Linked DNA regions of Drosophila melanogaster. The protein of the gene in region 1 purifies or fractionates together with the protein of each later gene. This does not show direct contact. Each region holds a gene or a part of one and is shown on either strand. Other genes may lie near its edges. The genes, in order: Gfrl and mav.

Evidence for each region.
Region 2: the proteins of Gfrl (region 1) and mav purify together in Drosophila melanogaster (affinity purification with western blotting, with the first as the bait; one study listed by BioGRID). This does not show direct contact.

What each region holds. Positions count from the first base shown.
Region 1 is NT_033777.3:20,446,660-20,451,524, forward strand, and holds the start of Gfrl (glial cell line-derived neurotrophic family receptor-like), read right to left. Parts: upstream 3,029-4,865; 5' UTR 2,800-3,028; exon of another isoform or gene 2,786-2,799; intron 1-2,785.
Region 2 is NC_004353.4:622,521-627,953, forward strand, and holds mav (maverick), read right to left. Parts: upstream 3,512-5,433; 5' UTR 3,065-3,511; coding exon 2,252-3,064; intron 2,144-2,251; coding exon 851-2,143; 3' UTR 699-850; downstream 1-698.

The DNA.
Region 1 (4,865 bases):
TGTGTTTGTGTGTGTGCGGAGGAGTGCGGTGCCGACCTCGCATAATTGCTGTCATGAAACTCGTTATAATACACCTACGGTGCATGGAGTGAGCTGGCATTTTGTCAGCTTATGAATCCACTCCACTCCACATCACTTAATTTCACTCGATTTTCGACTCCCCCACAAGCATTGATTGATTCCCTTTGGCCGGCCAGTGAGTAATTGTTGTTGATTTAATAATTTATTGCGGTGGCAATTATTTAAACTGGCCATCGACAAGCTATGACATCAGCCCTCTTCGAATAGAAACCGTAAACATTTCGATCGAGGACGAGCGGTGCAAATGGCAAATCCCCTTCTCGGCGACGCATTTGCATAAGCAAATCTGATGCTACATGCAAAGGCACCAAGGTTGGAAGGTTGGCAAATAAAAAGTAGAAAGTTGAAAGTGGAAGCCGGAACCCAGAACCATACACGGCACACACGTGTATGTCAAAGCGAATGAGTTGAAAAGCTGCATTAAACAACACTTAGATGTGGCCAAAAGGACGGCAGGAGCTGATGGGAGTTGGTGGGTGCAGCGGCAGAAATGATTCATGATTCGGGTGCGGACAGCGGGGAACTCAAAGTGAAAGGAGTCCGGAGACGAACAAAGGCCACGGATCGCTGAGCAGGGTGCGGGGGAGTGTTGCAGCAAAGCAAATAATGTTAAAGTTGTTCCACAAGCAGCTGCTGCCATCGCCACTACACACGGCGAAATAATTCACTTTGGAGTTGCGTACCTTCGCGTACTTCTTTTGTTGTTCACAAAATAAATACAATTTATGTAGCTGAAACAAAAAGTATCTAAATAATGGCATGTCCCAGATTGACCACAAAGAATGAAGTCAGAAACCGATATTCTTTGAACTTTTTTTTTTTTTTTGTAAGTTAATTTATTTAACTTAACAAATTTATTAACACTCCACTAAAGTGAAAACTGGCTAGACCTAAGTTATGAGAAAATTTATTTATACATCCAAATGTAAGTTAGGTGGTATCATAATCTCGTAATCTCTTTAAGATTATTTTTTCTGTGTACCTAGAAAAAATTGCGCGCAGGTAACAAGCAAAACAAAGGCACACAAAAGGTAGCTAGAAAAAATACATACATATAACACCGAGAAAAACTGCATAAAATGTCAAGGTAAAACTAACAAACTGGCTTAGGAGCGATTTAACGGAAACGGAAATGCCAGCGAACGTTTAAAGCGCCACCAACTTGCGACAGCTGCATTTAAAAGCCGAGAACTTCTTTTACTTGGCGCGATAAGAAACAGGAGCAGGAGCAAAAGGATATAAATACAAAATACAGAGCCCTTGAATGGGCCGCTTAATTAGAGTGTAAACGGGCGACAGGCGCAAAGTTCAAATCGCTACTCAAAAGTAATTAAAAAGTTGCAAATAAAACGCAAAGAATACGGCCAAATTACGCGATTGCAAAGAAACTTTGAGACAGTTAGGCAACGCTTTAAAAAAAATCAGAACAGAACCCCTTTGCCATTTAAATTGGGAATGGATTACGACGAATGGAGCGGTGGCACTGAACAATTGCAGCAATTTCAACTCCAACTCATTGAACAGCACTTGGGAACTACGCCAACAATTTTACGCTTGGGCCTAACCAGAAATTCCCGGCCAGGACTACCACCGCACTCCGATTCAGTTGAATGCATTGCAACTATTTTAGGGGCACTCATTTTTCAGTTGAGCTGCCATCGGAGTGAGTTCCTAGTTACCAGTTCCCAGTTAGCAGTTACCAGTTACCAGTACCAAGTTCCCAGTTGGATGTTACGTATTTATGCCCCTAGTCCTGGCAGACAAGGATAGGCAGGCGACATGGTGAGACATGAGGACATGGGGACATGGAGACATGTGCATGGATCGCCACATTGTGGGCCTGTGTGTGTGTGTGCGCCAGGTAATCACGTCATTATCACGTGAAATTTCGGCATTAACGTGAATTTACGATTTGCACATGAGCACGAGCCAAGAAACCGAAAAAAAAGAAATAACTACCAAATGGCAGAGTAGAGGAGCCGAGCCGAGCAGTCGACCCAAGGTATCGACGCACATAAACTCACATTAAATGCGATTGCCAATTTATTTACTAAGTGAGGCGCAGCAACGTCGCAGGAACAGGTTTTGCTTTGCTGAAACAGTACTAAACCAAGAGGAGCCCAGCTGGCAACGGCAAGTTGGCTCAAATTTTAGAGCGGAAATAGTGCGGCAGGCGATATGCGATGGGCCGTGGGCTGTGGGCTGTGGGCCGTGGGCCAGGGGTTTGTAATTGAACCAGCCACCCGAAAGTTGTTGTAGCGAATAAACCTGAGCCAAAAACTTCACTTCACTCACACACGGAGAGTGTGCCATAGTGTGGTGGGAGGGGATAAGGTTGGCAACTTTTTTGCATACAATTAACGAAAGTGGCGCACCTAGGTAAATAACATGAAATATTTGCTTTTTCGGAGCGATGTGAGATGGAAGAGGGGCAATGGGTGGTGGGGGGATAAGCGTGAAGGCATGCGAGTGCTCAACCGCATTAACCCATTACCAGCATAAGCAGTAAGCAGTAAGCCGTGCGGCACTGCCAGCTGCTGCTCGGAGTTTTCCTTTGCTTGCCACTTTCCCCTTCGCCGGGCCATACAATTTTCCAACACATTTGGCAAATTAAATTATATACTATGGGCTATAGTATGCAGTGGCACAAATCTCGGGCGAAGAAAGCACACTCGACTGATTTTTGTTGGTTTTTCTGACTGACACTTTATGATTTACAGCTTAGCTCCGTGTTGACTCGAAGATTGCGATCGACGTTTCTGGATATTCCATTCACTCGACTCGACGATCCTCGCTCGCGGCACGCACACATATCAGCCGTGCCATTGGCAATTCGCTGGCATTCGTATTTCCGCTTCCGCTAGAGTCGAATTCGCATCGAATTGAATCGCACTGCCCGCTTGCCATTGGCCGCGCGTCCGTTCGTCACGAGTCTCAGTCGAAAACTGTTTGGCCCGTACGAAGTCGGGTCCTTTCACCGCACGAAGCTCTAAGGACTCGGCTCCGAGTTCTCTGGGCCATCGGCAAATGTAAATTAACAGTCCAAATAACAGCTGTAAAGTCAGAGATTTCCAGCTGAGAGTAAAAGAGAGAAAGGACACTAACAATTATCCGTTTTGTTTTGGTTGCACATTCGGCGAGTAAGTTCCCTCTCCATTCTCGTTTTTTTCGTGGAATAAGCAGAGTATGACTCTCAAACTGTAGGAAACAAGGTCTTGTATCGAAAGTCACTCGCTTCGCAAGTTCTATTCCATTTTAAACATTTCCTTTAAAAAGTTTACTGTAGTTTTGCAAAATTATAAGTACTTTTGGTATTTTAATATACAAAAACGTATTGTTAGCGTTATTCAAATGTCAAGTCCATAATAGACTTCAATTATGTATGTAAGTGAGAACATTTCTAAATTTATATTATTAAAGCTTTATGTTTTGATATCAAGCTATACAAACGTCACCCTAATGGATATTAGATACAAATGACTTCTGTTTAATAACGTACGCATTTAGAGCTTACTTATCAGATTTCTTATTAAAATTCTCGTGTTGGCCTAGGACTCTGCGTACGAGCCAAAAGCTCACGACGTGACACAAAAACGAATGGATGGATGGTGGAAACGACGGCAGACGATGGATGACGACGCGTGAGAGTGTCCAATAAAAATTACGTATACGCAGCGAGTGCCCGAAGCGGCGACCATGCCTCACGAAGCGTGCGGTAATTGGCAAAAGAAACACACACAAAAAAGGATAACCCTTCGACACTTCACCCACACCCGCCAGCCCATTTTGCTGGCTAGAACTAAAAAATGAAAGGGCATCGACAAAAAATATTCGCAACAAAAATGAACCCAAAAGTTCCCGAAAATACTTTCACAGCTTATTATTTATATGTCGTGATATGCAATCGAGTTTTGTATCAAAATATATGGAAATAAGCTGGGTGGGATAATTTTAAAATATTTTATTTAAATTAAGGAATTTTGCGTACTTATGCTAAAAGTCTTGCAATATTGAATCTTTTATTTAATACAAATTTAAAATTAAAATGATCTTTTCTATAAATGTTTGTAGCTAGTCAAGATATAGATGTGAGAAATACACCTCCTTACTAACGTTTAGTTAAATAAAACCATAGTTTCCATAAATCAGAGAGTAATAAGTGTTTCCAAAAATATTAATTCCTCTTTGCAAGACCTAAAAGAATGGGTCAAAATTGGCCAGGGGTCAAGAAATTGGCTCTGGGCGTCGGCACTCCCGGCATGTCAAAATGTCGCCGGGGCTATAAATACTGGCCGTCGAAAGGACTCAAGGAAACGCTCCGATTCCACCAGAATTGGTGGGCGGACTCAGGGATTGAGGATCCCGAAGTTTGCCACCTGAATAGCTGCACGAACCCAAGTCGGAATAATTCTTCGCGGAGCACGTTGTAATTATCGCGTGAAATCAAAGCGATTCCTTGCCAAAACAATGAGTCCTGGCCGGTGTCCTGGCAACGCGGTGGCTCCTCGACGGCGAGGCTCTTTTGTGCGGCCGGACTTTTATGTTTTCCCGCAGCCGAGGTAAGCTGATTATTTCATTTCCATTGTGCTCGCCCCTCGGCATAACTTAATTTTTATGGCACTTATGATATTTTAATCTAATGAAAGTGTAATTACATTGCCATTGCTAATTTATGCTCGGTTCGGAGCAATTTGTTTTACCTGTTACACTGCCCGTTAAAAGAAAATGCTTAGTGCCTGATTCGAATACGATTTCCTACCACTTCTTGTTTTCAATTTACTTAT
Region 2 (5,433 bases), on another chromosome or scaffold:
CTTGCGTCTTAATTTATAACTTCGTCTATATAAGGATAAGAATGTTAAAAATAATGTAAGTTTATTTTCAAAAATATATTTAGATGTAGTTTTTTTTATTTTGTTTTTGTATTTTAATTTTACATCAAATTGTTAATTCAATCAATTTAAATAAATAACGTTCATATCTATGTTAGAACATTTATATACATATTCTTAATAATTAATAATCAAACAAACAAGTGCATCAGTGCAGACAATTTTTTCTTTCGTCTTTGGATTGTATATAATCAATTTCCTTATATTTTCAAAAAATACAAACTATTGGATTTTTGTTGAACACTATAAAAAGCCGTTTGATGCAATGTACCTAGCCACATTTTTTTATATTCACGTGAAAAAAACTAGTACTTTTCCTATGCGCTCCCCAAACTTCGACAGGAAAATCAATGTGCGCCTGATGTACTGAGATTTCTTTTCGATTTGTTAAAGTAGTCATTTTGTTTTTACGATTAGCAAAAACCAAATCATTCTAACCACGCTTTTCGAGACCTCTTTCTCATATTATCAGGACTGCAATCATGCAGCTTTTAGTGATTCCTGCGCATCACTGGTTTTTGCATAGGACTGACTGCCTTCTACATCTAAACGTCTTTATCTTCCCTCAAGGAATTCGCCAAAAGTCATTAGTGCAATAGCGGTAATAAAACACACAATTTGTAAATGCCGCTATACGAACAAAAAATATTTCTATTTATTCAGCATTGTTACATGTTTAAAAATTCACAAAATTTGAACCAAATGAGAAACAAAACTTAAAAACGAATAATAGAATATGTATGTAAGAATAATTCGTTAGAGAAAGTTTTTTTTACGAACAGGCACATTCTACAACCTGCATATCACTCCATGTCGAAATTTTGAGTTTGTCGCTGTGGTTTTCGTCAACATGCAATATTTCAAGCATCTCAAGCTTTGAAGGAGTACAGCATGGACGGGGGGCTCTTTTGTGATCTTCTTGCCATATCAGACTTTGCAGTAGGGCGTGGTGGTGGGCGGGATTGTGACGTGGTGGACATCTTCCGTGGCAGTACCCTGCATCGAATACCTTCGGCTGTAAAATGAATTCGAATCCCTTAATGCTCTTAAAGGCAACATCCAATTGATTTCTACAACATCGTTGGTGCAATTTGTAACAGTTGTTGGTCCACTTATCTTTTCTCCAGGTGCTATCATGGTTTGAACGGTGATGCACGTATTGATCGCTTCTATTATTGGTCAGCATGATTTGGTGAATATCCGCGTCGCCGTGCTGTTGGGAATTCAGCGTTCCGTGTCCAATTATATTAAGAACTGGCATGAGGTTTAAGTGTTCGTCGCTTGAGGCGGTCGAGCGTGGTGGTGTTGACGGGCTGAAATCACTCAATATACGAGCCCCTATACTTTTACATTTATCACATTGAATTTCTATCCCCAAGTTTTCATGGCTTTTGTTCAACCAACTACGAACAGCTTTGGTCACGTCAAATTCTATCCACTGTGTTCGAGTTTCTTGGAAGCCAACATTTCCAAATTCAATTTTACGAGACGTTATCTTTCTTCGTCTATTCGCTGAAAGAAGTTGATATACTTTTAAAGTTAATTGCTGGCTACTATTTTTGTTAGATTGGTTCAAATTGACATCACCAAAATTACAGTGCCTTTCGATGTTATCATTCCCGGAAATTTGACTGATCTTATTTTTCCTAGATCCTGGCCCTCGTCGGAAATTTGTTGCCAACGATGAACTATAGAGAAGCATAAGCCTAACATTGGCCTCGTCGATTTTATCATGGTGAAAATTTGCATCTTGTGCATTTGTCAATGGAAAGTGTAAAAGAATATTCATTGTATCCTGTTCGCCACGTAGTAGGTCTCCATAATTTTGATGCTTTTTTGGGTTTTGGTTTAATCTGTTAATTTTTTTAAGCGACCTTCTATGGCGCAATCGTTTGTTGCTTATATCATTGAATCCGTTTGTGGTAATGCTTAGAAAATGTAGGTCTCTTGTAAAGGAAGCTCCCATGAAGTTGTTAAAATAGCTGTTGCCCTTCTCCTGGTTACTTCTTAGGCGACTTAAGTATTCTATATATTTGCTGGAATATTCAGCTTGGCTTATATTGACCTGTAAATAAATAATATCCTTTAGGTGGACCCTTCTGTATACGGTTTGGCATAACACTGCACAGCTTTCTTTTACAGGACGTGACAATAGCTGTAATTTAAATCTTACCTTTCTCATATCTGGTAGTTTTTTAATTCCAAGGCCCTTCAAAACGAGGTGCTTTAGTCTGGTTTCATCTACTCTTTTTGATGGCTTACTATGCCTCTTAGTTTCTAGGCCGATATCCCTAGTTTCCCTCGTTTGCCTACTTTGAATTGGTACGGTGTTTATCCACTGAACTGACAATTTTTTATTGAATAATTGAGGAAAGTTTTTTGACTGGCTTACATTAATCAGACTATATTTATTTGAACTGGCATTGTAGATTGAGTCTCTGCTTTGTTTGCTAAAGCTTTCAAATACATTTTTAAGACCCATTTTCGGAGTTGATTTGGCTCGGATTATTGGATGTTGATTTGTTTCTAGTCTCTTAGCTTCATTTTCTAAATTTTGAAGCTGCAAATTGGTAAATGTAATATTTTCTTTAGGCTGATAGTATGAAAATACTGCTTTTGAACTTGACGTTTGGCGGAATATGCCATGGCCACTGACTTGATGCTGAGTTGACATCAATAAAATCAATATAAACCATATTTTGTAAAGCTTTAGTGACCTACTACAAACTAGGGTGAGCTTAGCCTCAGCATTATCAGTAATAGGCGGATGTTTGCAAGGAGGTTCTCGTGCTTTAGAGTTTCTTATAGTTATGGTATGGTGAACACAAATATGCCACAAAATACTAACGATCCAGTTGGACTTGTTCAAAAGCGATGGAAATATTTTTATTGTACGGTTACTAACTTTACATTTATGTTGAAAAGAGTCGCACCACACAGCTGTTTCCTTTTTTGGCGTTAAGTTTGGATTAATGTCTATTATCATGTTTTCTCCGCATGGCCATTAGGGTTCCTTTGCTAATGTCAATTATAAAAATGATTATCGTTCTTCCAGTCGATCAATCTTCCAGTATGTACTCTTCTTCAAAATTACACATTCGCATGCCTACATATGTATATACATACTAATGAACGTTGGCAAGTATCTACATATGTATGTAGGCTCAGAATCTCTGTAAAAATGTTCACATCCACACCATTACTTATTAGGTTAAATCTGCACGAGTTTGTTGATTGCATTGATCTTATTTTCGGGATTTCGTTTACGGCACTTAATTTAAAGAAACAAAAAATTTCTTTCGGTAAAGTAAATAAATGATCACAGTTCCTCGAAAATGTGTATATATTTTCGTCTCGGTCGCACTCTCATTAACATTCTTGTACACATCGATACGGAACCTGTTCGGACATTGCTTCAAATTCGACTAAAATACCCACAGCAAATGCTTACTTAACAGCAGCAATATGAACATTAGTCTCATACCCCCACACACACCCACACATCTGCAGTGGACTCATGCACGTCTTACAAACACAAGATTTTCTGGGTGTTGCGTTGTGTGTACCTGTGTACAGGCGTATTCACATGCAACATCCCTTACATCTTGCTTGATTATACTCCGCCCGCCGTGCATTCCCAGGATAGGCTTTGCTCCCTTTCCCATAACCAGATCGGATTCGGAGAAAAAATTGTTTCGAATTGTTCGAAAGTGTGGGGCATGGCAAAGTGTTTTTGGTGTACCTATAGAGATTGGCAAGACAAGTGACAAATCAATAGAAATTTACAAAACTAAAAGTATAAAAAAAATGCACAAGTGTGGGCGTGGCAGTTTTGGGCGGTTTTAGGGCGTGGCAAACTTGCTCTGCTTCTGTCTCTAGAAGTTGCATTCTTAATCGCAACATTCTATTTTTTATAGTTCCTGAGATCGAGGCCTTCATACGGACAGACGGACACAGACAGTTCGACTAGGCTATTGATCCTGATTTGCTCGAAAACGTTTCCTTCTGTCTGTTATATGGTTTTCGAGTAACTGGTTTAAAAACCCTAAGGTGGCATATGGCTCATATTTCCAATCGCGCATGTTCAGGTACAACCAAAAACTATGTTTTCCCTAAGCATAGTTGTAGCAGAATACTATTATCTTTTTTAAATTATATTTTGATTTTTTTACTCGTATTTAAATATTGAATATTGATATATTTTCTAAAATACCTTAAATTATTGAATAGGGATTTCTTATACATAAAATATTTTCTCGAAAAGTGTGTACATTTATGTTTCCTTTTTTTATTAAATTTGTTAAACGAAATTATTTAATTGACCAGCGTACTTCTTAGACAACTTAATCTAATCGGTATCAATTTAAACGAATCTGAATATCTAAGTTATTTACAAAGATTATATGATTATGAGTATTCAAGAAGTGGAATGTGAGGCTATAATATTTAGAAGATTATAATTAAGTAAGTTTTATGTGAAGTCTCGGTTAGTCAGGTCTTGAGGGTGGTGGCGTTTCAATCTTCTTCTCGTTATTCTCCGATGGCTTTGGGCTGCGATACTTAGTCGTCTAGCTAGACTATTCGGATAAGATTCTAGTCTGTGCTTATGTTTCCTGACCCTATATTTTTGAACTCCATAGTAAGCAAGGCAGGCAAATTGCTGATCAAACGGTACTTAGGAATAATAAATGACAAAAGACATAGTAAAAGAACAAAGAAGCGCCTAGCACTTTTTCCTCTCTGTATTTTTGTTTCTCTTAACTTGCATTTTACATTTTGAATCGTCAGAGTTTTCTCAAAGACACTAGAATTCTTATTCTAGGGTCTTTGGTTTTCTGGTGTCTGAGAAATGTTTTTCAGGTACATTACATATATATGTACATTATTCATAAATATGTATATAAAAAATATTCAATAAAATAAAAACTGAATTACTTAATGTATTTATTTTTTATATTCTTTGGGAACTTTTCCTGCTGTTTAGATATAAGACATTCAAAAGCATCCGTGTGGTCGATTTCTAAACGTATTTAAGAAACATTACTGAGTGAAGTTCACGAAAGCTTTGTAATAAATATATGTAAATATCCTAGAAATATTAATTTCGGAAAACACCCTGAAGCCTTTCCGGGATGCAAACGGATGCGTTTTGAATTGGGAGGTTTACAAAGTGATTGTAAAAAACTTGTCTCAATGTGATTAACGTAAGTGCGATATTTTGTAGAGCAAAATGATGACCACTTCGTCAATCTTAATCTAATTTTCCACATCGCTATGACCTTTGCTCGTAAAGCAAAAGGAAGCTTTTCCGACCATACATATAAAGTATATAAATTAAGCACTTATTAAGTTAAG